Linked DNA regions of Xenopus tropicalis. The protein of the gene in region 3 binds, or shares a complex with, the protein of the main gene of each other region. Links are inferred from orthologs where the notes say so. Each region holds a gene or a part of one and is shown on either strand. Other genes may lie near its edges. The genes, in order: pa2g4, arvcf and srsf1.

Evidence for each region.
Region 1: srsf1 (region 3) and pa2g4 share a complex: the UniProt entries of both Homo sapiens proteins name them as parts of the ribonucleoprotein complex. The link is inferred for Xenopus tropicalis from reciprocal best matches to the Homo sapiens genes SRSF1 and PA2G4.
Region 2: srsf1 (region 3) and arvcf share a complex: the UniProt entries of both Homo sapiens proteins name them as parts of the ribonucleoprotein complex. The link is inferred for Xenopus tropicalis from reciprocal best matches to the Homo sapiens genes SRSF1 and ARVCF.

What each region holds. Positions count from the first base shown.
Region 1 is NC_030678.2:137,646,465-137,657,418, forward strand, and holds the end of pa2g4 (proliferation-associated protein 2G4), read right to left. Parts: intron 10,490-10,954; coding exon 10,397-10,489; intron 9,984-10,396; coding exon 9,920-9,983; intron 9,230-9,919; coding exon 9,151-9,229; intron 8,188-9,150; coding exon 8,109-8,187; intron 8,023-8,108; coding exon 7,889-8,022; intron 5,939-7,888; coding exon 5,844-5,938; intron 3,560-5,843; coding exon 3,432-3,559; intron 3,207-3,431; coding exon 3,153-3,206; intron 1,863-3,152; coding exon 1,809-1,862; 3' UTR 1,664-1,808; downstream 1-1,663. UniProt on the Homo sapiens protein: May play a role in a ERBB3-regulated signal transduction pathway. Seems be involved in growth regulation. Acts a corepressor of the androgen receptor (AR) and is regulated by the ERBB3 ligand neuregulin-1/heregulin (HRG).
Region 2 is NC_030677.2:154,938,244-154,949,197, forward strand, and holds part of arvcf (armadillo repeat protein deleted in velo-cardio-facial syndrome), read right to left. Parts: intron 4,417-10,954; coding exon 4,289-4,416; intron 4,155-4,288; coding exon 4,004-4,154; intron 3,042-4,003; coding exon 2,849-3,041; intron 1,634-2,848; coding exon 1,522-1,633; intron 552-1,521; coding exon 461-551; intron 1-460. UniProt on the Homo sapiens protein: Contributes to the regulation of alternative splicing of pre-mRNAs.
Region 3 is NC_030678.2:76,098,942-76,110,548, reverse strand, and holds srsf1 (serine/arginine-rich splicing factor 1), read right to left. Parts: upstream 5,467-11,607; 5' UTR 5,213-5,466; coding exon 5,019-5,212; intron 4,038-5,018; coding exon 3,796-4,037; intron 2,969-3,795; coding exon 2,796-2,968; intron 2,545-2,795; coding exon 2,350-2,544; 3' UTR 1,372-2,349; downstream 1-1,371. UniProt on the Homo sapiens protein: Plays a role in preventing exon skipping, ensuring the accuracy of splicing and regulating alternative splicing.

The DNA.
Region 1 (10,954 bases), about 62 Mb from region 3:
ATAAGAATGAGATATTTGCTAATGGGGATAATCAAAGCTCTGTAAACCAAGAAAAAGTAGAGTGTCAAACATATCACAAAACAGTCAAGTAATGACTTGTCTCATGACAAAATTCTTATTTAAAACCTTTTAAATATTTTAATTAATTAAAGCTGTCAGTTAAAGAAAGATGATCATAATAGGTTGCACCTAACCATTTTAGGGATCCAACAAATCCATTATTTTGGTGTTGGCCGAACCTGAATTATTTGTGAAAGATTAGGCCAAATACCAAACTGAATCTGAATCCTAATTTGCACTTAAAATTCTTTTTTACTTCCATGTTTATCCAACCAAAAGTCACGTGATTTTAAGGTTTTGGTTCGGCCATGCGCTTTGAATCGGTTGAATCCCGAATGGAATACTGGATTCAGTGCATCCCTATCCTCTTTGTATCTCTAGATCTGCCATAACAATCACTTAAAACAGTTGTTCATTTAACTTTTTAGATTCGTAACCTCTTCAAGGGTAAGATATGATGGATCCCATCAGAAAGTGATCCAAGACTAAATACAGCATACTATAGGAATGTATCAGAAACAGATCACTTTCACACATGGGCAAATAGAAGCTGAAGCAAATGAAATGGAGGTATTACAAAAAGTGTAAATGGCCAGTGGCTAACAAGTGCCTTGTATAATAAGCCACGGGATGATTCTACCATCCGCCAGCAAAGGAAAGGGCACAAAGTATGATGCTAAGATGCTCCTGTATACACAACCAAGGAACACAAATTGGTGTTATGTAATGAATGGTGAAAACTAATAATGTCCAAAAAAATGTTGATTCACATTAGGCATTATATTTTCCTCATCATACAGAACCTTGCTGGTACTCTGGTATCCCTTTTGTAGTGCTGAAATTTATCTTACACGGTGACAGTATTGATTGTGCGGCTAAACGGTTTTAAACAATTCACAAAACTGATGACTACTCCCAAGGTTGACTTCATGGGTCTTTCAACATCTCTCTGCCAACTGGCATGTGTGTTTTGCATGTGTGCAAGGTCCAGCTGGCCATCAGTCCCATGTATTCCACTTTAGTTGGCGAATGCTGAGGCAGTTAGGAGGAAAAAAATGACTGGCAATCCGTGATGTATTTGGTGTTTAACAAGTTTTGCGCCGCTAATTAGCTCACACATATGTAAATAACTATGTAAAAATTGTTACAAATTTACATATGGTCATTATCTAAAAATGTGTCTGGCATGCTATACCTTCAGATTGCTGTACAACTGCAGAAGCAATGGCTCCAGAACAACTCTCATGGGTATGTTAGTGCACACTGTAAAAGTGTAATTGCTCTACATCACTGGTTTAACAAGTGGCAAAACCCACCATATAATGAGCATTTGTCTGCAGGCATTTGACAGAAGAAGAAGAGTAAACCTGGAAGGTGGAGTGTTCCGTTTCTGTGTAACAATATCTGTATAGAAAGAGGGGCTGAAAGACTGCTTTGATGCCTGCTTTTATTTTTCTTTTGTTTTATCGTTTATATATATATATACTTTTGGTTTAGTCTGAAGAGAATTCCAAAATATGTCTTTAAATGTCCAAGTTTGCATCCAAAGAGAAAGTGGGGCTCCCACATCCAAACGCACACTTGGCTGCCCGGACTGCACATGTTTTTTAAATTTTTTTTTTATTTTTTTCTTTGTTTCAATTCATTTCAATTGTCAGGATAAAGAAGGGAGAGAGGCAAAAATAACGCAAGTACTAAAAATATTAACTGGCAGGTCAAAGTCAGACACCTCAGAGAAAAGCCTCTGTTCACTCTGTGCCTTCATTTTCTTCAGCAGTGGCATTTTCAGCATTTTTTGACGCCTGCAATATACAAAAATGAGTTAAACAAAACTGCATTCATTTTGCATAATCTACAAAAATCGGAAAAAAAACACTTTTGGTAAAGCATTCTCTCCTGACTTCCTTTGATTCAGAACTGGCACCTGGTAGGTGCTACTTGGCCATACAAGTAGATGGCCAAACCAGGCAGATAATGCAAAAATTCACCTATGCATGGCTGCCTATCATTTTTCTCATTTAAAGGGGTTGTTCACCTTTCAGTTAACTTTTAATATGATTTAGAGGGTAATATTCAGAGACAATTTGCAATTGGTCTTAATTTATTTTTATTAGTTGTTCTATTTTTGTTTGACAGCTCTCCAGTTTGGAGTTTCAGCATCTATCTGGTTGCTAGGGTCCAAATTACCTTAGCAACCAGGGAGTGATATGAATCAGAATCTGGTATATTAATAGGAGAGGACTTGAATAGAAAAATAAGTAATAAAAAGTAACAATAAAACTGTAGCCTTAAAGAGCAATAGTTTTTTGCCTGCTGGGCCCCATTTGAAAGCTGCAAAAAGTTAAAAGGCAGCAAATAATTCAAAACCTAATAAAAAAAAAAATTAAGACCAACTGGAAAGTTGCTTAGAACTGCCCATTTTACATTATACTAAAAGTTAACTTAAAGGGGAACCACCCCTTTAATGGTACAATTAACTACATAGTACAGATGAGCACTCTCATCCTAAATGACAACTACACATTCCCACCTTCTCACAAACAACCCAACCAACATGGAGATTCCTTAGATTGTGTATGCTTTAAATGGTCTAAAATCCCTAAAATTAACAATTGTAATATAGAAACAACCAGACAATGATTTTCTATTAAAGGAGAAGGAAAGGCTACGTTACTTGGGGGTGCCAAAATGTTGGGCTGGTGCTGTTTTCTCCTAACAGGGGCACCAGCCCGTGGGAAAAGGTAAGCTATTAAAGTCGCTTGGGGGCGCCTAACATTTTTAAACAATACATCTGCCCAGTTTTGCTTAGGTTGAACTGTTTAAGCTTATGGAGTTAAATGTGTAAAAAACGTCGAGAAAATTTGCCACACATCGCTGTGTAAAAAACCGCGTAGTTTTTTTTACGCGTTTCTCTTCCGCTGGAACGAATGTAAAATAGCGGCGTAAAATCTGGCATTAGGACGTCGATCTTCTCTGTTTACACAGCTTTTTCAGCAAATTTGTTTTACACAGCTTAATATATATGCCCCTAAGTCTCCTGCGCTTGTATAATTCATGGCAAAGAAGTGCAGTCCTGAAAGCAAAGACAATACCTTCTTTTTCTTCTTTTTCTGGGTTTTCCGACTTGCTGAACTTTGCAGAAGTGCCTGTAAGCAATACCAGTAATTTCATATTAGATCTACGTTTTGTGGATATGTTTTTATAAATAAGACATTTCTTCGTTAATAAAAAAAAGATAACAAATAACCTCTATGGAATCACTGCATTTTGCGTACAGAAAGCACTATCAGTTAAATGATCCTGTCCCAGAGGTTTTACTGCAAAAATGTCAAATCAACAGTAAATATATAAAGTGATAAAGTCTCACCCACCTTCAACTCGGAATCTTGCACCTCAAGCTCAGATTTGTACATATCAGGTTCAAAGGGGCCGCTAGTTATCCTCATAGGACCATTGGGCATTAAGAGAACAGTGAACTTGAACTGAGCTACAAATTCGCCTAGGATTAAAAAAACAAAAAAAACATTGCAAGTTAAAACAAGCAATGCTTTAACTGTGTTATTCCAGAAAAATTATCTAAAGATATCAGTGTTACAATATAAATATTAAAACACACACACCATACAAAAAGTTTCTCATTCTAAACTTAAAAAATACACCATAAAAATCATGACAGAATCCCTTCATATCTAAATTACACAGCTTACTTTCAAATAATGCACCGTTTTTTAGTCGTAATATTGGTGCCATCTCAGTGCATTGTGCCGGAGTCTGAGCTTTCAGAAGGAGCCAGCGCTACACATTAGAACTGCTTTCAGGTAGCCTACTGTTTTTCCTAATCAACATACTGTCAATACAACCCAAGCTGCAAAATAAGAAAACAGAGTTTCGGTGCTATACTTAAGTCTTCCACTAGGTGGGCAAGTGAACTTGTTTAGCAATGCAAACAATTTCTGATGTAATTTAATCTCTATCATGCTAAAATCTTCTATAGCCTTCAGGAAAACTGCTTTGGAAGGGAAATGGGTCTAGGGTGTCAAAAATCATTGCCTCTCTTTGCATTTTATGTATTTGGGGCTTAAGTTCCCACTGCATGTAATGTATTTGTGATGCCACTACCCAGTGTCTCACTTTATTTAATGTATTTTGGGTGCCACTACTTCTGCCCCACTATATAATGCATTTAGGATCTGGAGTTATTATTTTCAGAAGTCAATATATCATTTTTTACATTTATGTTCATATTGTGTGTATATTTTATATACATCTCTATATTCTTTACTGTACAAAGCTAATTGAGACTAATGACACACGTCACTGTATTTTAGCTGGCAGAGAAATGACTGAAGTCACCCTAAATTACTGGGAGGGCAGTTTTGCCTTTTTACTCACTTGATAACATTTCAGATCACCAGCAGTGCTACTAGCCAATGGAGCTCCTAACAGTTCTGGCAGCTGAAAAGTGTGACTGAAGTGAATCTGTTTGCGCTTTTAAAAAATGGACTTCAGTTTGCATTTATTTGGACTTTTTTTTTTATTTAGTAAAATATAAATACAGGTATGGGATCTCTTTAACAGAAACCCATTATCTAGAAAGTAAATTATGGACAAGACATCTCCGTTACAGTCCATTATAAAAAAAACATAATAACAATAATACAGGACTCTTGATGGTAAGTAAGATGAATGGATCCATATTGGTAATAAAACAATTCTATTGGGTTTATTCACTGTTCCAATAATTTTTAGCAGACTTAAGGTATACCGATCCATATTACATGGTGATGCTATACCTATGCTGTATTTTTGTTCACATCTTGCTTTCTTTTTATGACTGTTCTGATGATTGATCTTAAAGTTTTAAAGTCTTGTTCGTATCATTGTTATTTTTAGATTGAAAGGAACACAACCTTCAATATCCTTTCCATTAGGTCCATTTCCATTAAGCAAGGGGCATTGCCTGTCACTAGGAATGTAATCAACTAAGTATCGCATTTACATTAAGCACAGCATTAACAAGGTTTACTCGTATCCTGTGCAGTTAAATATCACAGACCATGTCCGTATACAATTCAGCAGAAAAATGTTTTACTCCACTTTTAAATTACATTTAGGTATGCAACAAATTCAGGACTCAACTCTGCCTTTTTCAGCAGGATTTGGATTCTGCCGAATCCGAATGCTTAAAAACGCGCAACTTTTTATCACATACAAGGAAGTTGAACATTTTTCACCAAACTGTTCTCTAACTTTTCCTTGTCCTAATTTGCATATACAAATTAAGATTCAGATTCAGGCGAATCTTTTACAAAGGATTTGGTGTTTGTCTCTGTCTTTAATTAATGTCTAGTGTCACCAGACCCTTACACATTTGCCTAGGATTCTTTAAATAGAGGGCCAATGTGAGCCTCCCTTTTATTATCCTGATGAGCGTCTATGCAAGGTTTAAACAATTTGGGACTATCACTTCAATATATAAAAGGTGTACATATTTTGAGAACAGGTTAATAAGAAAGACTTAGTCCTTCTGCAAATATAAATCAGACAGCATCCACAATGGAAGTACTAAACCTTTCCCTTTTAATGCAGCCTAATGAATACTGCAGTCTGCCCAAGCAGAATACTAGCTGGTATCTTAATACACAGACCCTAAGAATTGCCTTGCAATTAAAACAATAAAAAAAAACACACACACACAAAAAGATGCTAAACACACACTGCACATATATTTACACACTTTTTCCCTATTTGCAATAAAGAAAGCAAGATCAATCTATATTTACCCTCTTTTTCATAGAGAACATTGAAAGGTTGGAGAAGCTCATGCTTGGCGCATTCCACAACTCCCATTCTTGCCTTCTTTTCATCCTCAAATGCCCTGCATAAAATAATAAGGTAGTGTCAAGAGCAAGGAAACTATTATATGACAATGCTGATCCACATGCATTAATGTATCAATTGCAAACATTTTTTTTTAAAATATATTTACATATTAAAAAACCTACTATGTGCATCATAAAACTGTGCCAATCAAACAGCATGAATTCAGCAACACATTTACAATTTAGGTCGATCTGGGATTCATTATAAACCTTTATTGAAGATGTTGATGATTTAGCACCATACAGTCAGAATGATGTATGTCTGCTACCACAGAAGACACACGTGTTAAGTCCACATAAACTAAATAACACTAATATGGTATCTCTCAATTAAAACACAAATACCAATGGCTCATTTGTAATTCAAAAATGTAACTAACACATTTCAGGCCCTTATGTGGAAAATTGCCACCATTGTGAATCCAAAAACATTCATCCGGTAGGGAAACCTGTAAGGGTCCCCCCTGTCATGGTCCAGAGGGCAAGAAAAGTCCGATATGCAAATGTCATGGACTTTATGAAGGTAAAACTTGAGGGCTCTGACGGGGTCTAGGGATTGGAGGGCCACCACCTTAAAGTTGGCCAGCAAAGGGCAGAAGGTTGGAATGGTCCTTACCTGATTCAGGTGGAAGGCAGATACCACCTTGGGAAGGAATGATGGCACAGTGCAGAGAATGACCCTATAGGGATGGAAAACAAGGAAAGAAGCCCGGCACAATAAGGCACGGAGCATGGAAATGCACCTCGCTGAAGCTCTTGCCAGCAGGAAGAAGGTCTTTTAAGTGACCCTCTAAAGAGAAAATTAGATCATAGGCTCGAATGGCGACATTGGAGTGCACATAGGACAAAGGCGAGGTGCCACGTGGGAACAAATGCTTGAAATGGGGGGGGCCAGATGGGCTACCCCTGCAGGAAGGATTCTACATCAGGAAGAAATGCCAGTGTTTCTGGAAGAGGACCGACAAGGCCAAAACCTGTTACTTGAGTGAGCCCAGTGAAAGATCCATGAAATGGCCATCCTGAAGAAATTACAGGATATTGGATAGGATTTATTGAAATAAAAGTTTTTCCAAAGACCAAAGACACAGACTACCACTGCTGGTAGTGGAGTCAACTCTGGGTGGAGGTGATTGGAGTTCACACTTTGGAAGGCTCTGCATTTGTGATAACCTTAATGTTAAGACTTCTAAAGGGGCCCTGCGCTTAGTATTCTTGATCTTTAGGCTGTTAGAATCCTAGTCGCCAGCTGAGAACCACTCCAGAACAGGGTGCATTCTGGGTTTTGGGATCTACTTGAAGGAATCCAGGTTCCTCCTGGGTGTTCCTGGCCTTGTTCCAGCCAGCAGTTTACAGAGAGTACATGGGTAAACATTTACAACATCTGGAACAGGCTAGCAATTTAATAGGCGCTGATGAAGTGGGAGGATTTTCTTCTAATGGCACAAGCACTGAGATGGCCAACTAACCTAAAAAAGTTGAAGGCAGGAAGGAGGAAGCAGCTGTTTGGAGGACTTTTAGGGGCAGAAGTGTGGCTGAACTTCCTGATTGCAAAGGGGAAAACTGCCCCCAAAGACAATCCCACGCTGGGAGATGCCAGTAAGAGACACACTACTTCAACATCTCCCGGCTAGTGACTGACTGTAACAATAAAGAAAGTGTTGCAAAAGAACAAAACAAAAAAAAACTGAACTGGGCTCTACCTGCTGGGGGTACAGCCAGTGGAGATGGTGCTAGTTCTTCTTCTATTGTATGCTGCCTTCTAGTGGTACCTGCTATAGCTGCTGTTCCAGTGTCCCCCAAGCAGATGATGGAGAAAAGTGCTTTTACAAAAAAGTACTCTAAAAATCCATGCTTCAGAAACATAACTCATTATTTAAATACATATTTAGCATGCTGCCCATTTAAAGTTTATGCTGCTCAAGTGAAATGCAAGGACTCTGCAGTACCTGAGAGTAAATGGCATTGCAGCGAAGCGCCTCTCGACTTCGCTGAAAAAGGCACGGGAGGTTTTCATTTTCAGGCCATACTGCTTAGTGGGGTCCCGTTTGTAAATTGTTGTGCGCTGCCCAGCGTCCTTTGCCTAAACCAAAAACAAGGCGGTGGCATTACTAATTCAAGTCTTGAGGAACAAAAGACGTGTTTCATGAAATCCATTGATTAACCTACCTTTCCCTCTCCAGTGCTAATAAGAACATCTACAGCATAAACTTCGTGGACCTCAAATTCTGCTTTTTCATGGTCTTTCCTACAAAAGAAGAAATGTGTTTTACAGTGATATTCTTGCTGGAATTCACATACACATTGCCAAAACCATCCTTTCAGCAATATACAATAACGTGCAAGTTTAAAATAAAGCTGAAAACATTACTCATTTTTCTCACTAACAATCTAATGATTACAATTTTTACAATTGATTCCCTTTTTCCTCCATTAATAAAACAAACCTTGTACTTGATCCCAACTAAGATATAATTACCCTTAAACAATCTCTGTATATTCACATTATCCCTCATGTTTCTTCAGTCAAAAAGTTCACAAGTTTGAGTCTAAAGCTGGCCATACACACACCGATGATATCGTACTTCGTTTCGTATGATATTCGGTGCGTGTTTGGATGATCAACGAGACCAACGATATCGCAAAGGCTGCAGATATCGGTCGTCTCACCGATCAGCCATTGAAGACGCCCGAACAAAATCTGCGTTTAGGGCTGAATCGGCAGGTGGAGGTAGAAGACGGTCTTTCCTATCAAAATTGTTACTTGTATGGCCACCTTGAGATACCTTGGGAGAGCAGGCTTATGTATCAGTAGGCTGGGTGGCGTTGTAAAATGCATTATATTAAGGTGGCTATACATGTTAAGATCTGCTCGTGTGAGGCGGTCAAACATTTGAATTAAAATGAGGGTGCGGATCTTAACATCTGCTCGTGCCGGGCACCATTGGACCAAATCGATGATGCAATGCGGTCCCCGGACAGAAAATATAAACACTGCCGAATGATACCTGGGCCATCGGGGGGGCCATGCACAAGCAGATAATCTGCCAAATCAGTCAAAAGGACTCACACCACCAGCTTATATCTGTCTTTAGACTCTATTTTCAGTACAAAAAAAGGGTAATAAAAATGCCCTTTGGTGCCATTTTCCATTTAGTTATACAACACATTAGAGCTACTAAGGTAATAACTGCTAATAGTCAACACTTACTTTTGCTGGTCAGTGGGGTTCTGAATGATGGTCTTCTCACCATCAATGACATGCTGCTTTAGCTGGTGAGAAAGCATTCCTGTAAAAAAAAAAAAGTAATGACTGACATACAATAATGAAAATGATGAAAAAAAAAAAAAAAACATTTCATCATCCATATATTCTCCAATGACAAACACAATATCAAAAGGACATCCGTCATAAGATTCAGTTTCTCTGTTTGCCCTATTTAGAAGAACGATAGCCAAAAAGTATTTCAGCACAGAAGCCTAGTCATTGAATTCATACTGAAAATTGGGCTATACTGCCCTTTGAACAGAAACTGAGGGTCTTACTATACTGGCCAACTTTTATATTGGTAAATAGTGATGTGATTAAGGGGTGGAAGCCCAAATGCGTCTTACAAGTTGTGGCTGTTAATAGACAGGTTAACTACTCATGCCTTCAATGTGGGCAGCTTCTCATTTTAATTTATTATTTACATCTATCTATTATCACATCCCTAATCACTGGCAATTCTAATGGACTCTAAAAAAGTGCATTACAAAAGGAGAATGGAAATATCCACTTTATGTAGAACACTCAGTAAAAAGTAATATCGGTTTCATTTTTGCTGTATTTACATGAGAGAACATTCACACAAAACAAAATGTAATCTCATAACTTCATAAGTTAGTTTTGTTGTGTGTGAATTCATACTGGGTATAAATCTGTAGGAGTTGCATGGTATAACAAATGCAGCATCAACAAAATCCTTAAAAATAATTACCTTCTATTGGAGTACATTTAAAAGATGGAGAAATTTTATTCCATGCTTCAGTCACTTGCGAGTTCTAAATGTAAATGAAAAATAACAGTTCTGAGTGCTTTGTATACACTGCAGAAACAGCCAATAAACAACCATAAAAGGAAACTGTGGGAGCCACAACAAAAACCTAAAGCATAACAAGGCCAACTGACCAACCTAGGCCATTTAAAAACACTCTCGCTAGCCTAAAATGTTAACAAGCAAATCTGAGGTTTGATTTGTATCATTAATTTGTATTACATATCTTTCTATTCAGACTATCCCCTAATTGTTTTACAGCCATCCAAACCACACTGAATTTCCTAGGGCCACCTCAAAGATAATTTAAATTCCAAACTGGATTATTGGGGTTATTAGAATTATTATTTGCCCTATTCTGAGGCTCTGCACTACACACATCAGTCATCAGGGGCGGCATTTTAGCTTGGAGGTTCTCACCTGATTTCCTGGTTTCACAAGACGTAAAGCGGCTTCTCCACACAGATGGGCTGCTTTGATGACATCGGCTTTACGTCCAGTCACCGGACACTCCTAAACAAAAACGTCTCTACTGGGTTTAAGTTTCCATAGACAGCACAGAACTAGGATTGTTTTGTTTTTAAATGACATGCACACTACGGTTTCCTGCAATACAGCATTTACTTTTATATGATATTTCCTGGACCTCTTTTGATGAGAAAGCAAAAAATAGAATTACTAGAAAATAATGATTCAATACACCTCAATAAAGGAAAAATTAAAGTTACAACACAGAAATGTGCCAGTTATTACGAAAAACAGAATGTGGAAAGCTATTTTTTTTGCAGAAAATGGAGCCCCAGCCTAGCAGTATTTGCAGTTATGATGGAAATTGTGAGCCGCAAAGCTGCTTTTTTCTGAAGGCTAGGCTGGGAATACAATTGAAAGTGGTACCCGAGCTCCCCAGAATTACATTTCTTACTTTGCCTTCTTTTAATTAAGGTGACCATAAAAGTTTTACTTGCTCTTTTCATCCCT
Region 2 (10,954 bases), on a different chromosome or scaffold from region 3:
GGAGTGAAGATTAAAATTGATAGAACAAAGTAGAAGTCAATTGAAATGGAACTCTTGCGGGTTTCTGAATGGCTTTCTGTTTGGCTGCAACCCTGGCACAGATACAGCCTGTAACCAAACCAGTAGAAGCTCTAAACAGGCAGGAATGAAAGAGCATTTCAAGCAATCACATCATCGAAAGTTAACCCATGTGTATGATACAGGTACATATATACTTTATTTCAGGGGTGGTGCAAAGCCATAACAGACAGCAGGAGATTGTATCCCTCCTAGAATATTGCTCTATTGCTATGTGTATCGCTAAATCAAGGGGATAATTCCTCCGCACCTTTGCCAAAATCCTCCTGAGGCAAAGCAATTTCCTGTCTAATTTCCGGCTTTTCTAGATGTAGGACAATGCAAGCCCTAAAGCACAATGAGACTGAGAAAATAAAAGTGAAAATAAAGTGTGTTCTCTTACCTTGGCTTTTATCTACCAGCGGTAGCGTGCTGTCATCAAATCCCGATTTCCCATTTCCTTTGGATCCTTTTGGCAGTGTTGACACAGCAGTCTAAAGCAAAAGATATAAATAAAGCATTCCAGTAACTATGAAGAACAGAGCTCGAAACAAAAAAAAAAATGGATACATAAACATGGAAACTTCTGGCTTAAAACACAGCACTGGCTTTATGCTGCACTGAGCATTATAGCTGTGCGGAAATACCTTGGATACAGGGACTGGAATAAAGAGCAAGTCTAAATATTGAGAATCTTTGGGTGCAGCTGTTGCACTGAGCCAGATACATGGCTTCTTTATTTTATCCCATTTTACCCATGTAAAATGCCCGCAGGCCAACCACTGGTACAATATTTAAGTCAGCAGAATTAGCCTACAAGGTTTATTTCTTGCTTAGCTATATGATGGGCTATTTGGCCTAAACAGTTACCATCTTTCCCAGGGGCATTTCTGCAATGAGGCAATTTAAGAAACTTTTTTCAGACTGCAGCACACCTGAGGTTACCGAGGACGCAAAAATCCACTCCACTGGTAACTTTAAAAGCCGAAATTCTGTTTTTTGAATCTGAATTTTCTAGTGCAGAGAGTGCGGAGAGAGCTATAGATGTGAGGGCGAGACTGTAGTGAAATGATTACATGGTCTAGAAGATCATTATGTGTACTGATACACTAAATATGATACTTATAACCTGATTTAACCATCAGCAGCTTAGGGAGTCTTACAACTTCTAAACTCTGTGTAATGTGCTCTAAAGTGCTAAATCCTTGTGTTTTTATCACCACATTGGAAAGCATGCCATAAACAGGCTAAAGAGGGTAGGGTATTTATTATAGTACCCTAAGCAGTATAGATGTTTTGGTTTTTACACTCCTTAGAAACCTTGCCCAGTCCTTTTACTCTGTTCAAAAGTAACAAATAAAAACAATGTTGAACTGGTTATTAGGACAGTGAGCAGTTGCAATTTAGCATGTGAGCCTGACCTATTATCTCCCAATGACCATCATATGGGCTGAGCCTGCATACCTGGAAGTTTGCTTTGTTCCAGCCCTCCTTCTGTAGTGCCCCTCGTAACTCCTTGTAGCTCCAAACCATCTGCAGGACATGTGAGGCAGCTTTCACCTCCCTTGGAGACTGACTAATAAGAAATTAGAAAGGACATCCATCTTACAAAGAACACAAAGCACCCCAGGAATATATACAAGAAAGGAACTGGCCTAGCAATGCTTATGCTACAGTAATTGAAATATTTATGTGCATTGTGAGCTTTATGTCTATAAAAATGGGTAGGGCTGCTGTATCACATCTTTTGTAAAGCAGCTCTTTTCAGCACTAGTCCAGCTCCTTATTATGCCTAACTTAATTTCCATGTCACAGTAGTGGTACCCTGCAACCTAGGCTGACAGACAGACAGACAGACACACACACATGCGCGAGGCATGAAAGTTACATTTTTAAAATCTACAAACAAAACACCACAACATAGTTAGCCCCATTAGGCAAATGGTCTCCAATTCTTGCAAGCTGCAACACAATTGCTTGCTCTGAATTATAGCTATAAAACTTATGCAAAAAAAGTATTTTGGACCCTTATGAAGCAAACAAATGACTGATTATTAAAGTAGTTAGTCCATATGGTGCAACAGGCATTTTTATTGCAACCTATAAGAGCCAAAACTTGTTATTTAATTGATTTCTACATCTTATGTAACTTAAAGGTCTGTTGCTCAATTAAAACAGTCTTTTGCCTGTACTGTCTCTATGGGGTGCATACTGCTTTGGCAGTAATAAAAATATTTAATAATAATAGGGAAGAAGAGGTTAAGCAGCAATAGATGACTGGAAACAGATGCACCATGTAATATTTGGTGAGAAAGAACAAATAGAGGCAGTTACTGAAATTCATATATAATATAAATCCACTTGGAAATAATATTGGATGGTTAATTTCATTCATTCTGCACATTTACATTCTATAGTATAGGGTAAACAGACCCTGCCCAGAGAGCAGAATAGTAATAGGATAATACTTTAAGGCACCGTCTGCTTTAGCACAAATATCCACTAGTGTTTCTAGATAGCTTAAATGGGTCTGTATCACAGAGATTAAGCGACTGAAGTATTTATAGTAAAAGGATACCTAGATAAGGCCAATAAAAGATTAAAGGAATAGCTTTCCTCAGTTTCACACAATCTGATCAGTGTAGCCAAAGGCTAATGCCCCATGGAGGAAACTTTGCTCGGCTTTAGAAAAATGAGGCTATGCGTATGCTTTTCCACCGACAACTAATCTCTCTGTGGGACATTAGCCTAAATATTGTGGTTAAAAAAAAGGACTAGAAGAAAGAGTTACCTGGATTTATTTATAGTTATAAGCTTTTCAATCCCCTGTGTCTGTATTAAGGATCGGGCATTCTCTGAGCTGTCTGTGATTATTTCATGAATGGTGTTCAGAACAGCAACCACAGTGTCTTCCTCAAGGTTTTTTGCGGGACGTTGCTGTCCTCCAGGCAAGTTGCGAACCAACTGTCCCATGGCGTAGTTACCTGAAGAAAAATCATAGATGTACCCTTTGCATTTTCCTCCTCTGAAAACCTCATGCTACTGTATTAGAATTGAAGTCATATACAGGTGGGTTAAAATGGATTAATAGAATAAGCCATTTACAGGTGGGCTAAAACGAATTGGTTTATATAGGGAATATAAATGTGTAATGTAAGGAAGCAAGCAAGGAAACAAATATTGGATATCCAGTACAATAGTGTTGTCAAACATTTATTAGTACCACAACATATGGTGCACAGCAATGATAACTACTTATAACCCTCTCCCTCCTTCTTCACTGGAGAAGAGGCGCTTAAGAGGTGACATGATAACTATGTATAAATATATAAGGGGATCATATAATAACCTTTCTAATGTTTTATTTACCAGTAGGTCCTTCCAACGGACACGAGGGCACCCACTTCGTTTAGAAGAAGGGAGGTTCCATTTAAACATTCGGAAAGGATTTTTTACAGTGAGAGCTGTGAAGTTGTGGAATTCCCTCCCCGAATCAGTTGTGCTGGCTGATACATTATATAACTTTAAGAAGCGGCTGGATGGATTCTTAGCAAGTGAGGGAATACAGGGTTATGGGAGATAGCTCTTAGTACAAGTTGATCCAGGGACTGGTCCGATTGCCATCTTGGAGTCAGGAAGGAATTTTTTCCCCTCTGCGGCAAATTAGAGAGGCTTCAGATGGGGTTTTTTGCCTTCCTCTGGATCAACTAGTAGTTAGGCAGGTTATATATAGGCATTATGGTTGAACTTGATGGACGTATGTCTTTTTTCAACCCAACTTACTATGTTACTATGTATATGTGTAAACAAACAGCAGTGTAAATAGTACAGAAGATCACACAGAATGAAAGGCACTGAGAGATAAGCCAAAAGGAGTAGGTCAGAAAGTAGTGAAAAATCACTAATTCTATAATTTAAGTATAAAAAAAACCATAAAAAAAGATACCTATTAAGTCCTTGTTGCGCCGATCCATAGAAAGGTTCCTCAGAGCAATTGCAACAGCCCTTACCACTTTGTCAGAGTCAGACTGAAGAAGCTCCACCAGCACTGGCAGGCCCCTCTCCTTGCGCACTGTGGCACGGATATAGGTTGACCACTAAAGGAAGAGGAAAAAAAAAAAAATCAACTTTCATCTTTAAATCTCCACATCTTTTGTATTAAGCACCAACCATATGAGAAATGTGGTAGTATTGCTGTACATCTAGCAAGTCTATGAGTAACATCACTTACAGTCCAGTTCCCAGCACTGAGGTTCTGTAGGGCTCCTGCTGCAGCCTCCAATGTATTGTAGTTTTGGCTCTCTGTCAGGATAGATAAGTACAGACGCACCACCTCTGGTTGGTACAGAAGTTCAAAACCTACAGAAGAGGGAAAGAGGAACCACACTTATTGATTGCTTCATTAGGAATGTCATTAGTAAAATGTGGCATGGTTAGCATTAAACATAGGGCATCCAGGTAAGAAAGTCACTGCAAACGATGTAAATAGGGAAAAAGATAAGAGTTGAGAAAATGATCAGTATTGCTATTAAATACTATGCCACATGAGGGCAGTAGCAAGACTTGGATTTTCTCAAGGTCAGCCAAGGAAACTTACTACCTGTCACCAACATAGGAAAAAAAAAACATGGACTACGGCCATCAGATATCAGAACCAAACACTCAAAGAAGCTGAAGTGTAAACTAATGTTCCATTTTAGCTTTGCTCTTGTGTGCACACACAAACTCAGAGGCCAGCGCACACAACTAATGCTTGTAGGAACATTGGAGTGTATATATATGTATATCTCTGTATATATTTTATGTAGTACATTGTATGTAGCACTTCAAGAGTAACAGACCAATTAAAGAGTACATGAACTGGGAAAACGCAATTTTTTTATTTATTTTTTTTTAGAAGGGTGGTGTGTTCGTTATAACAGATGTGACACTAAATTTGTATGTTCTAAAAAGATCCCAGAATATACCTAGCCAGCTCTGCATGAACAAATGACTTTTTATTGCTTGAATACAAAGGGCAAATCAACCTTTATACAAGTTCTTTTAATACAGTAATAGATGCCTAAGGAAATCTTTTATTAAATTTGAATTCATTACCATTTTTATTGAGCTTGAACTGTTGGTAGCAGGCCATACATTTCCTTAAGTGACCTTGAGAAAATCAAGTCTTGCTACTGCCCCCACGTGGCAACAGTATTAAACAGCACAACAAAACAAAATCCTCTGGATTGTATCCATATCTGTGTTCTATATAGGCTTGTATATGCAATACCACTTGAATCCAGCACTGCCCCAACTCTTTACACCACTAAACCCTTTGCCCTCTTATGAGAAAACACTTCTTGTATGAACTCAAATGAAAACACATATATTGAGGAATGTATTATTCTACTTAAGACTTCCCCTTTAACTTTTATACCATCACATTACATATTTTAGCTCCTTAAAGAACCCGATTGTGTGGATAACCAGGTAAGATCTAACATTTAAGCCCCAGGAGAAAGACATCTGAAATATTAAAGCAATAACGGCTTATCTGACATTTAGTTTCTTTTATATAAATATTATGAGACCATAGCTTATTGCTTGCACACAAATTGAATACTGTGCATATCTGAAAGGATATGAATCAGATGAAAGTGTCATACTGCTTGCCTCAGTTAAGGCCAAAATAAGGGACTCTTCATAGAATACAAAGAATGAAGCAGCCATTAAAAGATGGAGCTGTGTGATAACCATCTAATGAGAATGCCTGTGGCCAAGGTATTATGCATGGAAAAATGCAAAGTACATGCGTGACGTAATATATTAGAGACCAGATAAGGGGTGTTGGCACAAACACTGGTGTTAAGGTGGCCATACACCTTCAGATCCGCACGCTTGGCGATGTCGCCAAGTGAGCGGATCTTCTTCCGATATTCCCCACCTATGGGTGGGCGATATCGGGCGAATCCAGGCTCTGGGGCCAAACAATCAAATTAGAATGACGGGTATAGGAGAAGTCGGATCGGGGACCGCATCAATGAGCCAATTAGCCACCGATATTGGCAGCTAGAATCAGCCCGTGTATGGCCACCTTTACTCTTATCCAGTGTCTGGCAGACAAATTGCATCAGAAAAGGGGAAATTTGCACAGTGAAAGGCATTCGTAAATGAGCCTTTACAAGGATTGTGGCATTCCATAAAAAAGTGGTTGTAGTCACGAACAGCATTTATATGGCCCACTGAAATTTATTGAACCTGGATGTCAATAAATCATGCATCAAAGGTGCTGTCCATAAGAACAGATTACAACAAACACTTTATATAGTGAGTAACATGTAAAATATAAGGAGGAGTTCCATGACCATATAAAAGCACAAGGCTGAAGGCTGAGTGGAACTTCAAGGTTACTTTTATATCCTCATATAATACTCAGATTTTACAACAGGAGGTACATTTGTTATGATGCAAAAGTTTAATTGATTCATAACACACAAGAGCCCTGAAAATCCATTCAAAATTATGTTTATATAAATGATGCTTAGTGATGTCAACAGATAATCAGGGATTAGTGAAGTCATTTTTATCACATGACACTCTAAAATGAGTGTATTATAATAAATAATGTACCGCATTATAAAATATTTTATAAAAACACCCCTTCAATTTAAACTGCTGTGAAGTAGTTTCCCTTGTCTTGTCAAGCTTTCTTACCCTTCACATATCTGCCAACTTAGTGCTTAGGACAACGATATGTCGCCAGCAGAAAATCACTGGAAAAATACCTTTTTCGTTTGAAAGTATGGGCTTTTCCAAACACAAAACACTTTACTGGAGTAATCTTAGAAAAATGCCTTCTTCCAATCCACTTTCTTGCACATAGGAGATTTGTCGCCTGCAGGACTGGCCATTATAATTATAGGCAACAAATTGCTGTGTGTGCAATTGCCTTTAAGAGTCCAAAATCCTTCAGCTATGTATTCAGCGAACAGATAGGATTTCAGACAATGGTGGTGTTGGCACCCTATTAATGGCACAAGGGGCAACATTTCTGAGCAATAATAACTTGACCTGCAAGTGCATCAGCAATATCCAGATGACTACCATTCAGGTCAACAGAAGGACAACTGCCACCCATATGGCGGGAAATTGTCCCTTGTGTTATTGTCCTAATAACAGTTGCTATTATCCCCACCATAAAGTACAACACAACTGCTGCGTTGTCAGACAGGGGAAAGAGACATCCATTTTAATACATGTCCCTGTGCAAACACAAAAGTTATTATGCATGTCAGAATGTAAGGCAAGGATTTGTATTTCCAAAAATACATTACTTAAAATTGCACATTCACAAAGGGCCTTGCCATTGCGTTGTCTGAAAATACTTCTGCAAACTACTAACAGCTTTTGTTTAGCTAAGCTTGGAATTCCAGCCCCACATTCCCAGGCACCGAGCCACCATTGCAGACTGGTATCATTTGCAGCACAATGTTAACACTGGGAAAATATGTGGTTAAGAAATGGTTAATGGGTCAGCCCATGTGATTACCACCGCCACAGCTCCAGTGTACAGTACTGTAGTCACGTCCTATATGGGGATTACCTTTTATTTCTCTGATGTCGGTCATGTACAGTTGGATAAGTCACAGAGCAATCTGAGGTATTTGGTGAATGCATTAAACTGAGGGCAATGCCCTGCTAATAATATTTCTTTAGATAAATCCACATGAAGCTATATATAAAAATTACCAAATCATAGAGAAGCGTCAAGTAGCACTTAAAGGGGAATTCTCTGGAAAATGAAAATGTAATATCCAGCTAATCTCCTGCATGAAGAGACACTGACCATACACAATTCTGCAATTGTATCCCTCCATGTCACTCCACACAAGGCTGAATCAAAGCTTGTGTAATAAAGGTGTAAGAATATAATCTCAGGCAAATAGGCCATGGTCAGACCCTGTGTCATTTAGCAACCAGGTGTCACGCACTAAAGAACTTTGCAACAGAAGCAGTAAAGCAGCGCATACATATAAACTTTATAGAATTTTGTGTAAGGTTCTCATAGGTACTTTGTACACAAGACCGACCTATAATTCCCAGTGTTCATCAGCTAAACTGGGAAAGAGGACGTGGGAGCTATAATGATTAACTAAAATTTTCTGTCCCTGCTTTACAGGTGGTTATAATTTTACCAGTAGATGTTTGTATAAAAGCACAAGCCTAGCTTTAATACCGAACAGCAAATCCTACCCGTCTCAATATTCAGAATTGTTATATTAGAAGTACCAAGTCATTAAAAAACCTCTTTAATGGAAGATAGAAAAACAGTAGGTTTGAAGAACTGTCTAATATCTGAATACAGATGTCGGGCCAAGCCTGAACCCTGTGCCACTGCAAGTGGCTAAACTCGCAGACCATTTCAGCATGCACCTAGCAACCTTAAGGGGTAACAAGTCATCACAGTTGATATTTTATTGCTAGTTAATCTTTAAGTATTATGCCACAGTAGGCAGAGCACTCCATGCACCTTCTGGGGGACTGCAGAAAGAGGGCCACAATGTGGAACCTGAAAATACACAGAGGTCTATCTGAAGTCGCGCCAGAGCACTCTGCCTTAACATATTGATTTTGGAATTCAGTTGCCCTTTAGTACAAAAATTAGCTCATTTCGGCATCATTCCCTTTGACCTTGAGTGTTTCCAAACATATAATGGCACAGGTCTAACTGGCAAATGGAAACAATCTACAGAGCTGGCAGAATTAGGTACTGTCTGCTTCCAACATGAGCCACTGCCCCACTGTACATTTCCAATGCTGCCCACTTCAGTCTATAGACAGAACAGCAGCAAATCCTCTTACTACATAGAGGACCAGAACTTCTACTTCTGGATGCAGTCATATGCCTGTATTGGGTATTGGCTTAATATCTTTTACTAAAGAATGAAGTCTAACAGACGGGGAAAAGGATTTGTCACCTTTGCAGAAAAGGACTGTAAAATGATCTCTTGAAAGACACTTTCTTGCCTGCTGTTTAGCATCGGTGAGATGCATTAGAGGGAGCTATTGATAACAAATGTGTAGTGTAGCTAATAAGAGGTGGGTGTTATTAACATTGTTAGGAAAAAAGTAAGGAAATGTGAAAGCAAACACAACCTTGCAAGGAACAGGCTTCTATAGAGCAGTCAGCAGGGGCCCAAAATGCACTGTTGTTGTCATGGCTACCCAATCAGTATCCTCCAGAAGATGCAAAGCCGTCTGTTGAGTTTAGTTGAGAGTGTGACAAGTGCTCCATGTAACAGTGAGGTAGTTATAGCTGCAGGCATCTGGAGGGCAATATATGTGTTAGGTAGGCTGCTTCCCCCCCATACCTGCCCATTCCAAGAAAAACAGCAGTGTTTGCTTCTATGATATACTGTACTGTCTAAATACCTTAAACCAGAACAAAAAGCAAAATAAGAGCAGAGCTTACCACAGCAATTGTGGCCAAGTTTCAAATCTGGCAAAAGATTTTTTTAAAGCAAACAAAAAAAAAATTGCACAGCTTGAATGATGCATAAAAATGTTTAAAAACAAAACATTTCTTTAAGAAACAAAACAGGAGACGGCATAGTGGTCGTGTGTGGAGAAGAGGATGACGAAGGAGGTACATGAATAAAATAACGTGTGAGAACACTAAGGAACTAGATAAAACACTGCTTCAAAGGGCTCCCAAGGCCCAGCTTCAAAGTCAGGTCAGCTTGAAATATTCAAGGGATGAATGCAACAGTCCCCCTTGATGGCTATAAAACTGTTCTAATGCCAGCTTGACAACATCTGTGGAAGACTGGATCTCAAGTGCCTGACCCGGTTGTAAGTTATGGCATCCTATATACCATGCTTATTTTACAGGCACACCCAAATGCCACATGGAATGGAAGGCTGAGCTGCACGCCACGCAGAGGAAACTGACAAACCTTTGATCTTTGACAGAAGTACCTTCTGCATAATTATAATCATAAATATAAATACACACATCCCAAATGCGTGCTGTATTTGAATAAAACATACAACATACACTCATTAAAAGTGATACAATTAGGTTAGAATAAAAAAAAAAAAAAAAAAACGTTTAAGAAAAGAAACGTACCCGTACATAGAAAAAAAAATGTACCCTTTCCATTCCAAAATAGACTCAAATTTGCTCCAGTGAGGAGCTGATATTTTTATTTGCATGACCCACCCCAACTTCCATACAGTCACTTGATTTACTCTGTTTCAGGGGCCCCAACCTTTCATACCCGTAAGCAACATTTAAATGTAAAAAAAGGTTGGGGAGCAACACAAGCATGAAAAAAGTTCCTAGGGGTTGACTAACAAAGGCTGTGATTGGTTATTTTGTAGCCCAATGTGAACTGGCAGACCACGGGAGGCTCTGTTTGGCAGTAGCCATGATCTTCCAAATCAGAAATTTAAAAATTAAGACATGATTTGAGGCCACTGGGAGCAACATGTTGCCCACAAGCCACTGGTTGGGGGATCACTGCTCTAGTTAAATGCTCCTGGTGTATGTCCAGAAAACAATGAGGCATCTCTGGATTGTAGCAAATAAGAAAACCCAAGGGCTGAGGAACAGTCAGTGGCTGCATGTACAAAGCTGACAGCAGTAGGGTGTCCAAGCTGCTTAAATGTGGCTAGAGATATTAATTGAGGATGGCTGTCCCTTGAGTGCACTTGCGTTGAATATCTCAGGCAGTTAAATTCGCAAGAGAGGCCTAACAGAAACCAGACTACTTATAAAATATTTAAGCTACAAAGATACATAAACACAAAGTCAAGAAGCATTGTAAATCTTTTTGTCTTCTGAACTTGTGTCTGGCCACCCACAAAAATAGGAAGACATAGGGAAGCAAACCAAAGATAAAGGAAAACTTTA
Region 3 (11,607 bases):
CAATCCAAACCTTTATAACCAGCAAAACCAAAAAAAGAGGCAGAGTTAGATAGTATTAAGACAAGTTTATGGGAGCAGACTAGTTACTCATGTAATCCTACAGGGAGCAGGACTGCACAAATAGCTACACAGCTTCCCAAAACAAAAATTATCTATTGAATAGTGGTATAGGGATTTACACACAAAACAGACCCAATTTAAGCATCTAGCACACAGCCACAACTGGTATCCCAAACTGAATTATTGTGCAGAGTGTCAGATGCATAAATAAAGGTTGCTCCATCTGCAGGAATATAGATATATAGTTACACCTGAAATATTTGTTTGCATGAAGCTTATGAGCTCAGCATTGAAGCAGTTGCTTGAATACATACAGATGTACTTTTCATATTGTGATATCTTTACCAACACCCACTGAGAACATGCAGCAGGAGCATTATTGGATACATCCTTTTTAAGTAAAAGAAAAGCAGTCCTACCATGGCCCAAATAGATTTAACAAAACCTGGGGGTGTAGCATATATGCCATGAATAAGTCTAGACAGGGTCCTATCATCCTGCACCACTAAAGATCACACTTTAAAAGCACAATTATAGGGCTCAGTGTTAAAGCCACCAGGATATAAATAAACCAAATTTCCTTTTCCTTTCAAACGATTGTGGAAAAATGCTCTAGAGGAGGCCAAGTAGAGCTACCCCACAGACTGATAGCTACCACTAGTAAGGGTCAAGTCTCTAAGTAAAGGTATGTGCAAGTATCACATTCTTTGACGCAATGCACTGGAATGTTATAACATGCATCCCAGTTTGAGAACAGCTTGACTGTACAATGCACTGGGCATAAGCCAAATCATGTACAATGATGAATAGAAAAAGTAATCTAATCTAATCCACTGGTGCCCAAACTACTACCCTTCAAATACTTGTAGATATAAGACTAAGCTAGACATACATTGCTTGAATGTGCCAGTTTCATATGCTTTAGTGTTCAGACTACTAGATAGTAGTATGATCAACAAGGACTATCTACTTCTCTCCCCTAATCAATATCCTTGCTAATATCCTGGCTGGTTATGGGACTACCTAAGAGTTGGTTCATTTATTTCACATTAGCACTTCCTTATTCATAACTAAGGTATCATTCAAAGTCAGACTCATTGTTGGGAGCAATACAAGAGTAGGAATTACAAAAAGGTGGAATTTATAGGTTACTGGGAAGTGATACCAAAGAAAATATTTCTACAGGTAGAGCTTGCATAAGGCTGTTATATCTTCTTGGATATGAAAAAGATAGGAGAAAAAAACATGCAAAAAAAAAAAAAAGTAATTTTGTGTGTAACAGTTTACAATAAGTACAATTGGACCCACAGGAGGACTGCCCATTTTTACAGTGGGTGAAGTTTTATTAAAAAAGGTATCACAGAGGAAAGTAAGCATGTTGTTGGTATGCAGTTGCTATGCATAAGCTATGACTGATCAGTCACAAGCAGCCAACAGCATTCATGTAAATGTCAGCATATATCTGCAAAGCTCAGTCTGCAATGGGTATAGGCTGAAAAAGTGTATCCCTCCCACAGCAATTTACACCAACATCTGAGTTCATTTGATTTTTAATGTGACAATTAAAACAAGAGCAATGTTTAGAACCACAGAGGACATGCATGTTTAGCAGTATTGATATTATACTCTACCTAGTAGAATGAGGCCCACAAGACATTCACATGTATTGTGGAAATACCCCTACAGACAGGAATAGAAAAAGGACATGTTCTACAAGCACAGGACTAAATTTATAAAACAGATCACAGTATCACTTATGAATAATTGTTCTCTTAAAACAAGAATTTTCAGCATAAGGTCAATACTGCCAATTTTGTCTAACAGTAGCACTTGGAGTCATACCATGGCCTCCATATTTGATCTGATCCTCCTCAAGCCTCCATTTGATAATCCTAAAATGATTGAAATGTCCTCCACAATCCTTTAATCCATCTCTTCAGATATGTCTACAGAAAGACACATGAAAAGGCAAGGTAAAACAAGAATTCCCCCAGGAAAAAAAAGTTAGAATGTATGGTAATCAACCACCAAAACCCACAGTGCCATAACCATAGTAAACACCAGCTGGTGCCTCTGAAGAGTGGCTAGCTAAACTGGAAGAATCTAGCAGTTAAAATACAGTTTTAGGCATGAGGGAAATGAGGGCATTAAGGAGCCAGTCTGATGGCAATACTACACAAAGGATTCAACACTTCGGCAAAATTGAATAAAACAGTGACTTAAAAAAATGAAAGTAAAGAAAACTGTATACAACATGAGGGTCTACAAAAAGCATCACGTGTTTTTCATTTATGTACGAGAGCGAGATCTGCTGTGGCGAGGAGAGTAGCGTGGAGAACCACGGCTTCTTCTTGGAGAGTAACTTCGGCTGCGACTGTTGCTTCTACTACGGCTCCTGCTACGACTGCGGCTGCGTGACCGCGATCTTCCATAGCTGGGACTTCTTGGACCATCTACCTTAACACGAATGTAGGCAGTCTCTCCCTATCAATGAGAGAAGCTGGATTTGAACAAGCCAATCTTCAATATCTTATGAACTTAGGCACATCAAAGAACGATAAAAGTCAAGCAACTATAGTACATTATACAGAAAATTTAAAATTCCCATATCTTTTGGCACCTTATGTATTTGGCCAACATCACTATTGGCTTCAGAGGTCATGTAAAACAGATACTGCTAGTCACAATAGGTAGAGAAAAACTTAACACAAACTACTAAACAATTTAGTATTTACCTCATGAGACCTAAATTTAGTGTTATCCAGCTTCCGTACTGCATATGTCATATCTTCTTTCCTCACAAACTCCACAACTCCAGTACCATCTCGGAACACATCGGCATAACATACATCACCTGCTTCACGCATGTGATCCTTTAAATCCTGCCAGCTGCCACTTGGAGGCAACCCTAGAAATATAAAGTTATCAGAGTGTCAAATTTGGTATCAAAAGCAGTTTTATACATAATTAAAAGCATGCAAATGGTGGAAATTTAAAATGGTTTATGAACTTCTAGTGCCAAAATTCCAAGAGTAGGTATCTATGCTGGTTATACAGCAATGCATGGAGCATTAAAACAGTCCAAAGACAGCTGTATTGCTTAAATGAACACAGCATCCTGGGGAAAACCCATTGTTTTAATCTGAACCATGCTTCCAGCGAGACTCACAACAGCCCAATTCTGCTAAAATAACTCAGGGGTTTACATTTAGTACGTTTTAAAGGTAAATTTGTTGCAGTGCTTCATGTTTGAACTGAAGGTAACATAGCAACATGTGCAAGTTTTCATAGTCCAGATAGCATCCTGAGCAACCAGACAGGGCCATTTAATATCTTGTTTGAAGACAATACCCTATCCTTCCCTTTTCTTGTGACTGCATGGTTTGAAGTCCATTATGCAGGAGAATTGTGTGTGAACTGTAATACAATTATCTACCTTGCAAGGACCAAGCAGAGAGTTGCTTAAGTTCTGTTAAGCTGATGCAAGCCGTTAACTGAACTAAAGTTAAAGGGAGATATACTAGTAGTTCTGTTTGTATACATTAATGGTCAGTCATATCCACTGGTATAGAATGCATAATACTTTAGAATGTATGCATAACTGTGTCCAACTCATTATTGTATACATGTGAAATAACGCTGCTTGTAAAAACCTGATGGGCATTATTCCTCTAAAACTTTGCAACTGATGTTTTTACTTTGGTTTTTAAACCTGCCACCTGATAGAACTCTTACCTGACACAACCACTCTGTATTCTGAACGTCTTGATGGAGGTCCATATCTCCCTCGGGGAGCTCCTCCTCCGCCGCCACCACCACCACCGCCGCCGCCGCCTCCACCACCTCCTCCTCCGCCGCCGCCACCACCACCACCACCTCTGCCTCCAGCTCCTCGCCCACTTCTTGGAAACTCAACACGCAAGCGATAGCCATCATAATCATAGCCATCTCTACCATAGACAGCATCTTCTGCATCCCTAAGAGAAACCAAGGTAAGAATTGCTTTAGTTAAAGAATGCCAGGTTAAGAAGAGAATATTCACCTACAATGGTAATTACATATCCTGGAAAACTTTCTTGGCTGTAAATGAGAAAACTTTATTACAGTCATGTATAGAGCTACAAACGACACATGACCCCAGATTAATTCTGTGTAAGCAAGCCATTGTATCTTAACAGTCTTTTAGACATGAATGGCTGCCCCCATGACTACACAAAAGCTTTTGTATTTACATTTAAACAGTACATTTTCACCAATACTTTACATATGTGCATATAGTGCAGATGCTTAAACACCCATTATTCATTTTGTAGTGTTGCTATTGAATATCAATACTGCACTTCTCCAAGCAGCCTACATAAAAGGTGTTAGGAGTTCTGGTTGAATAAGTGCAGTGAGCCTAATTGCATGCTTTATAGCAGAGACATGAGGCAGCGGCTTTAAAGCAAACAGGTCAATAAATAACCCAAAGCACATTTGCTTGTTAGAATGCCTTCCCTTAACACACTAGTAAGCATGGTGCAGGGCTGCAGAACAAAGAGCGGAAGCGCTATTCGGTCCCACACACAGGGGGCGCTGTTGCCTAAAGGCGGTAATAAATAGGGATTTACACGTGCTAATGGCGATACACAATGAGTGTATAATACCTCATTCTGGCGCCACTCTGTAGGGATTATAGGCTAAATATATTAACTTGAATAATGATACAACGCACCGATGTTGAAACATAACCTGCACCATAATCAGGCCTAATTCCCCCCCTCACTGGCCTCCTCGACTATATATAAACTCTAATACAACAGCGGACGACATTTTATCAACTACAGCAGAAATAAAGTCGCAGTACCACCACCCCGCCCCCGGATACACTCAAGGTATATTGTAGTTATTCACCAGTTAACACTAGGCGAGCCCATTAGCACGATAGGCCAAAGCAAAAACATTTACACAGGGATTACCTTGGATCTTCGAATTCCACAAAGGCGAATGGCGGGCCCCCTCTGCGGTTCTTTAGGTCTATGTCCCGAATGGCCCCATACTTGTAGAAAACGTCCTCAATGTCCTTGGTGCGGATGTCTGGCGGCAGATTGCCAACATAGATACGGCAATCGTTGTTACCCGCCGGCCCCCTAATCACGCCGCCCCCTGACATATCCAGCTTGATGGATTTAAAGGGAGACGGATTGAGAAGAAAAAGAAATGGAGTTGGAAGCCAAACAGACCTTCGATGCGCGCTTCAGAGCTTGGACAAGATGGCGGAGTTACTTCCTCCCTTGCTTTAGCCGCGCAAGGATACTAAGAACTCGCAGTGGTGCGTCCTCAACAAAGGTAATCTTACGCCGAGACAATATAGAGCCTCTCGTTTCCACGTCTTCACGATGCAATGTTCCTAAAGCTATGTGCCAATTACGGCCCTAAGAAAGAATCTATTCACTGAGGTAATATTTATACTAGAAACCTGAGCTCAAGCTGCTTCTCTGTATGTGATAGGGGGGCTTTCTATACCCTGTGCTTGACGTCACGTCCGTCCAGGAAATGCGCGCCCATAGTGGGGGAGGGCAGTGGGTGTTGTTTGAAAAATGTTTTGTTACTCGTCGTGCGCCATGGCTGTTGTTAGGTGGTTTTGTATTATAGAACCATGGTCGGAGGCTGTTAGCTCTTTATCTGCAGTGACATTCATTATGAGTATGAAAATCATTAACTACAGGTGTGCTCTCAATGGTTTCCGCAATAAAACTTTTAAAAGGGTTTTACCCTTGTTTGTAGTCCTGAGTGCCAATTGCTTTTTTTGTTGTTACAGTGTATTTGGAGGGTGCCGATCCCTCTAGCAGTGTGCACCGTACAAAATTTTTTTTGGAGTGTTAGGGTGTGCGGATAAGGTCTCTGTGGTCCACTCTCAATGGTTTCCCCATTAAAGTAGCACTGCAATTCAATACTTTGTAACTGCTGTCAGGGTAATATTGCAAACAAGGTTGGGAAGACTTTGTCCTATTTATTATTATTAACATTTATTTATAAAGCGCCAACATATTCTGCAGCGCTGTACAATAAAAGGGTTTTATACATTGGACATACAGAGTAGCATATAAAGCAATCAATAACCGATACAAGAGGTGAAGAGGGCCCTGCCCAAAAGAGCTTACACTCTACAAATATTTATGTGTTGATAATAAATACATGCCTTACATTACACTCCTGTTTGGGCCTTGTGCATATTTGTTTGTTTTATTTTAGTCGAGCTTAGATTGGGCAGTGAAATTGTAAGCTCTATGGGGCAGGGACCTCCTTCCTACTCTCTCACACCACATGGCGCTCAATCTGTGTATTTATACTTCTTGTATTTATTATAACAGTTGTCCTCCCTGTGTGTAATTGTGTATATTGTAAGATTGTATAGCGCTGTGTACCCTTCTAACGCTTTATAAATAAAGTTATACGTACATTTATATATTGCCCAGCGCTTTACAGAGTAGGGAGTGCAACCCTGGGCTGAAGTGGAAAAGCACTTCAAAAAGTGCAAAAGTATTTAAGAAACTGATGCTGGAATGTAAAAAAAATCCATAACAGAAAAATACTCGAAAATGTATGCCTTTTAGCAAACAAAAATTTCTTTGAACAAATTTAATATAGCTTTTGAGAGGTCACTTCCGACAGTGGAACAAAGGGGGCAAGGGGTACTGTCATGAATAGGTGTGCAAGTTGATGCTTCCCCCCACATCGGTATTGTAGAGAGAGAAATAGCGCTCAGAATTTCATCTCTTTAAAGAAAAACTATACCCCCAGAATGAATACTTAACCAACAGATAGTTTATATTATGCAGAGTGACCTATTAAAGAATCTCGCCAAACTGGAATATATATATATATATATATATATATATATATATCAGTAAATATTGCCCTTTTAAATCCTTTTCCTTGATCCACAATTTAGTGATGGGCTGTGTGCGCCCTCAGAGATCACATGACCAGAAATAATGCAGCTCTAACTGTAACAGGAAGAAGGCAGAACTTTGTTCATTAATTGGCTGATGGGGCCCAGCATGCATATTTTCCTTGACTTGTTTGTGTGCACTGTGAATCCTATGATCACAGGAGGCGGCCCTTAATTCTTAAAATGGCAACTTTCTATTTAGGAGTACCCAATAGCACATACTACTATAAAGTATATTTTTATAAAAATCGTTTATTTAGATGAAGCAGGGTTTTACACAAGGGTGTTTATGCAATACATTTTATAGAGACCTACAGTGATTGGGGATATAGTTTTCCTTTGTTACTTTTTATTTTTTAAGATCTTTTTTTGCCACCCCTGGTAACTTGCCGGGCGCTGCCACCAAAGGTGAGTTTCTTAACTATCCTCATGGCAGCAGCACGTTGAAAAGTTGAAAAAATTGCCTCTGATGGTAGTGCCGGGCAAGTTAACAGGAGTGTCGCTTCTGGCAACCTTAAGAACAAAAATTCTGATTAAAAAGAGCAATTGCGCTCTCATTTATGATCCCCGTATATATGTATAACTATATAAGGGGACCATATTATCTCTCTAATGCTTTATTTACCAGTAGGTCCTTCCAGCAGACACAAGGGCATCCGTTTCAAAAGAAGGAATTTGTTGTTGTTCTAGTATCTAAATCCATACAGTTGTAAAAATGAAATTAAAACATATCCACTCAAACGGTACCAAAAAGGGAAACAATTGTCAATTTTGTGCCTAAAGTTTGGAGTTCATGCTGAATTCTAGAGCTGTGGATTATGTATTTTAAACAGAATAGTTGCAGTGAATTATCAGTCTGCTGTGGGTATAGATTAGTCACGTCCCAGTTTGTCATATCTGGATCCAATCTGGGTCTGCAGTTAGCCATTTGCCTCTCTGAAGCTGGAAAAAATGTATTAAAACCTGAATGTCCCTATACAGATCCTGTGCTTCTTAGAATATAGCACAATGCTATGGGCACAAAAACCTGCTCTGTTTACAAACACAGCACAAACTGCAGTCCACTGGAGCTGGAGAGCATAAAACCCCAGACTCCACGTCACCTCAAAACCCCCACATTAATTGCCTCTGGCATGGACTCATGTAGTCAAATAACTACAGTTTTATGTGCAAAAAGTCCAGTACATGGTGATCTGTTTACATGGTCTGTTCTTCCACACATTGCAGTGGGTTCCTGTTCAACAGGCAGCAATCACTCAAGCAAGAACTGATGCAGACTTTTAAAAAGTAATCATTAAATACAGAGTATTTTTGGGGTTATTGCCTGTGTTGAAAGATTAAAAAGGGTTGTTGTCAGACTTGGAATTTCTTGGGAAGAACAGTCTGGCTTTGAGAGTAATCCATCAATACATCCAGGAACTGTGTGTGCTGCATGGCAATAATATTTGATTTAGTAGTAACTTTTTGAAAATCCTGAACATATCAGTCAATCATCTAAGTGTAGTACAGTGTATATACTACTACAAGCACCATAAATGTGTTAATGATATTTATGGGAAGATGAGAGGCTGAAGAGAAGGGCTATAAATTATAATTGATAATCTTGGATCTTGCAATTCCTCATGACAGTGCTAATGAAATCTTGGTGTGCTTGCCAGATGCAGATACATGTCCTGAAGAACCAGTGTTCCAGAACAGATAATCCCCTTGTTTACGGAGCACTGAGATGAATGAAGTCTTGAATTCCTGAAGCGTGCGCTTTTCACAAAAACTGTTGGAATTAGGGTATAAACAATGCTATTCTTCCATGCCTAAAAAAAAGCTCAACATCCTCTCACTACAGTTTACCTTATCTACTAGGAGGGAACAAAGCATATGCTTCCTAAAGAATAGAACAAATAACACTGTGGGGGTATGAGCTACTTTCAGTTGTTGTCCTTGGAGGTATATGCTATCTGCTATTTGTGTCTACACCAGGGCTAACACAATGCCTCTGAGTGCAGACACAATATAGGCAGAGAAACATCTCAGTCTAGCATTAACCTAAGGTCTACAAATGTAAATATCTTTTATTCAGTCAGTGTCCTACTTACCACTTATAAATAACAAAATTATCATATAACTGGATCTGACCTAATCAGCATATCTATTACATTCAACAGGATGTTAATGCCAGGGCTTGTATACGAATCACTGAAACTGGAAAGTTGCCCTTATTCTGTTTCTTTCTCCCTAGTTTCATATTTCTACTGCCTCCCCCTCTCCCACACCAAACATCCCATGCAGTTGCACAGATTGATGCATCCCATGCAGATGCACAGAATGGTGGGTGTGGTAGTTTGGATATTATGCACTGACCTACTTCAGCAATCCCTGGTTGCAGGTGGCTTTGCTACAACTCCAAGGAGTTGTGGTCCAGCCACATCTGATTTTCAGCAGTACTTCCTGTCTGAGGAAAGGTGGCAAACTAATATGAATTAAAGAAAGACCAATTTTTGTTTGCATTTTAGATTTGACGCCTGCCCCTGTGAGTACAGACCCAGTATAACAATAACGCATTATTGAAAACAGAGAAAACGGAGGAGGAAGAGAGCGTTGGATACACCAACACCGTGCACACCATGCACATCAAGCCAGGCTTGATGACCAGCTAATGAAAGACAGAAGTGTTGCCTTGTGACCACAATAAAGGCAATTGTATTCTTTTTGCAATTAGATTGCTACATTCTGTGTATTACTGAACACAGAGGATATCATCCTAATGATCATGTACATATTTAGTTCAGATACAAAACAAAGTCTATAGTCATAGTACTGTGTATTTATTTTTTTTTTCCTAGGCAATGAAAATACAAATACTGTACTGAACCCTAGTGTGTCCATGCTGGGAGCCATTTGCTTTGTTACTTTGGATATGGGGGCAACAAAAAAATGGGCAAATATGTAATTTGTGGTTAAAATGTATCCCTTGTATGCAGTGACAGGCAGTTAAGTTCAAAATGCTAAATTGAAAAATGTCTTATTTTAAAGGTGTAAGATGACAAATATATTTTGTATCTACATTTATGCATGCCAAAGTCAACCACGGTCTAATCTTAAAGGAAATGTAACACTAAATCGACGATCGATTGATCGAGCTTAGCCTGACTCCTTCCTATACAGAAAGAAGGCTAGGCTCGATCCATAGTTCGTCGCATAGTGATTGCTGCTCCTTTCTTTGCAGATATGCCGTAGTTCAATTGACAGGAAGCCAAGTTTTAGCAGGTATTTTCTATTACTAAGTGGTTTGCAGGATAGGGCAGTTATTGGTGCAGGGTAGAATAGCTTTTTTACTTTTTACACTATTTTAGTGTTACTTTTGCTTTAAGCCTGAATTTAGGCAGGTTGCCACCAACCCTCCCCATAAAATTTTTGTAGTTTATAAGGTTTCTGACAGCAAAAATGTAAATGCTGAATGTGCAGAAAAATATAATATACCCCCAGTTGGCACTTAAATCTTCCATATTTCTATCAGAGTGATATTTTACTACAGTAGTCTTGTTTGCTGAAAGCATGTGCTTGGATTTACATTTGTTTTTTAACAATGCTTACATATAACAATGCAATACATAAGCAAAGGTCTGCTTGTACAAGCAATACTGCTATGTACAAATCTAAGAGAGGAATGTCTATCAACATGCTCAAACAATAACTTCAGCAAAATAATATCCAATCAACAGGTTTTATCTTGTGTGATTCTTCAATTAAATATCAATGTCAATATTGTTTACAAATATATCAGATACAGAAAATCAGCACATTTTACACTAAAAAAATACAGGTATAGGATCGGTTATCTGGAAAACCTGTATAATTTTAATGAAATCATATTTAAAAATGATTTCCTTTTTCACTGTGATTATTAAACAGTACCTTGTACTTGATCCCGACTAAGATATAATTTATCCTTATTGGTTGCAAAACAATCCTATTGGGTTTTTTTAATGTTTAAGTTCGAAGGCAGGGTGATTAGTCGGTGCAATTCTTAATATCTAGTCGTGATGACTAATTCCCCACTGTACTTGTGCACAGAGATTAGTTGCTGTTCCAGCGCTGTGAACGGGTTTTAAAAAAATCACTAATCACCCCATCTATCTTCGCCCTAAATGATATTTATTAGATTTAAGTTATGTAGATCCAAATTACGGAAAGACCCCTTATCTGGAAAACCCCAAGATCCCAAGCATTCTCGATAGTAGTCTATTAGTAGTACCATAGCAAGGCATAATATTTAGGAGTGCACTTAGAAGATGTAACAGATTTCAGTACTGACCAGACAGATAGCATTTGAAAGCAGTAATACAACTTGTGGAGACAATAGCTGCATGGAAATAAGCTCCTGCCGTTACTAGATCTAGGTCTCTGAGGAGAAGTGATGTGTTTGAACATGTAGGTAATAACATACACCTATTTATTTCTAAAAATGTATTATGAGAGTGCAAAATACATGAAATGCAGGTGGACTGGTGTAAGACAATGTTGAAATGGCCCATAATTTCATTGCTCATTGGGAGTTACGCACTGGTAGAGGGTGGCTCCAAACTGATGGCCTAGGGTGAGACTTGGTTTAAGTG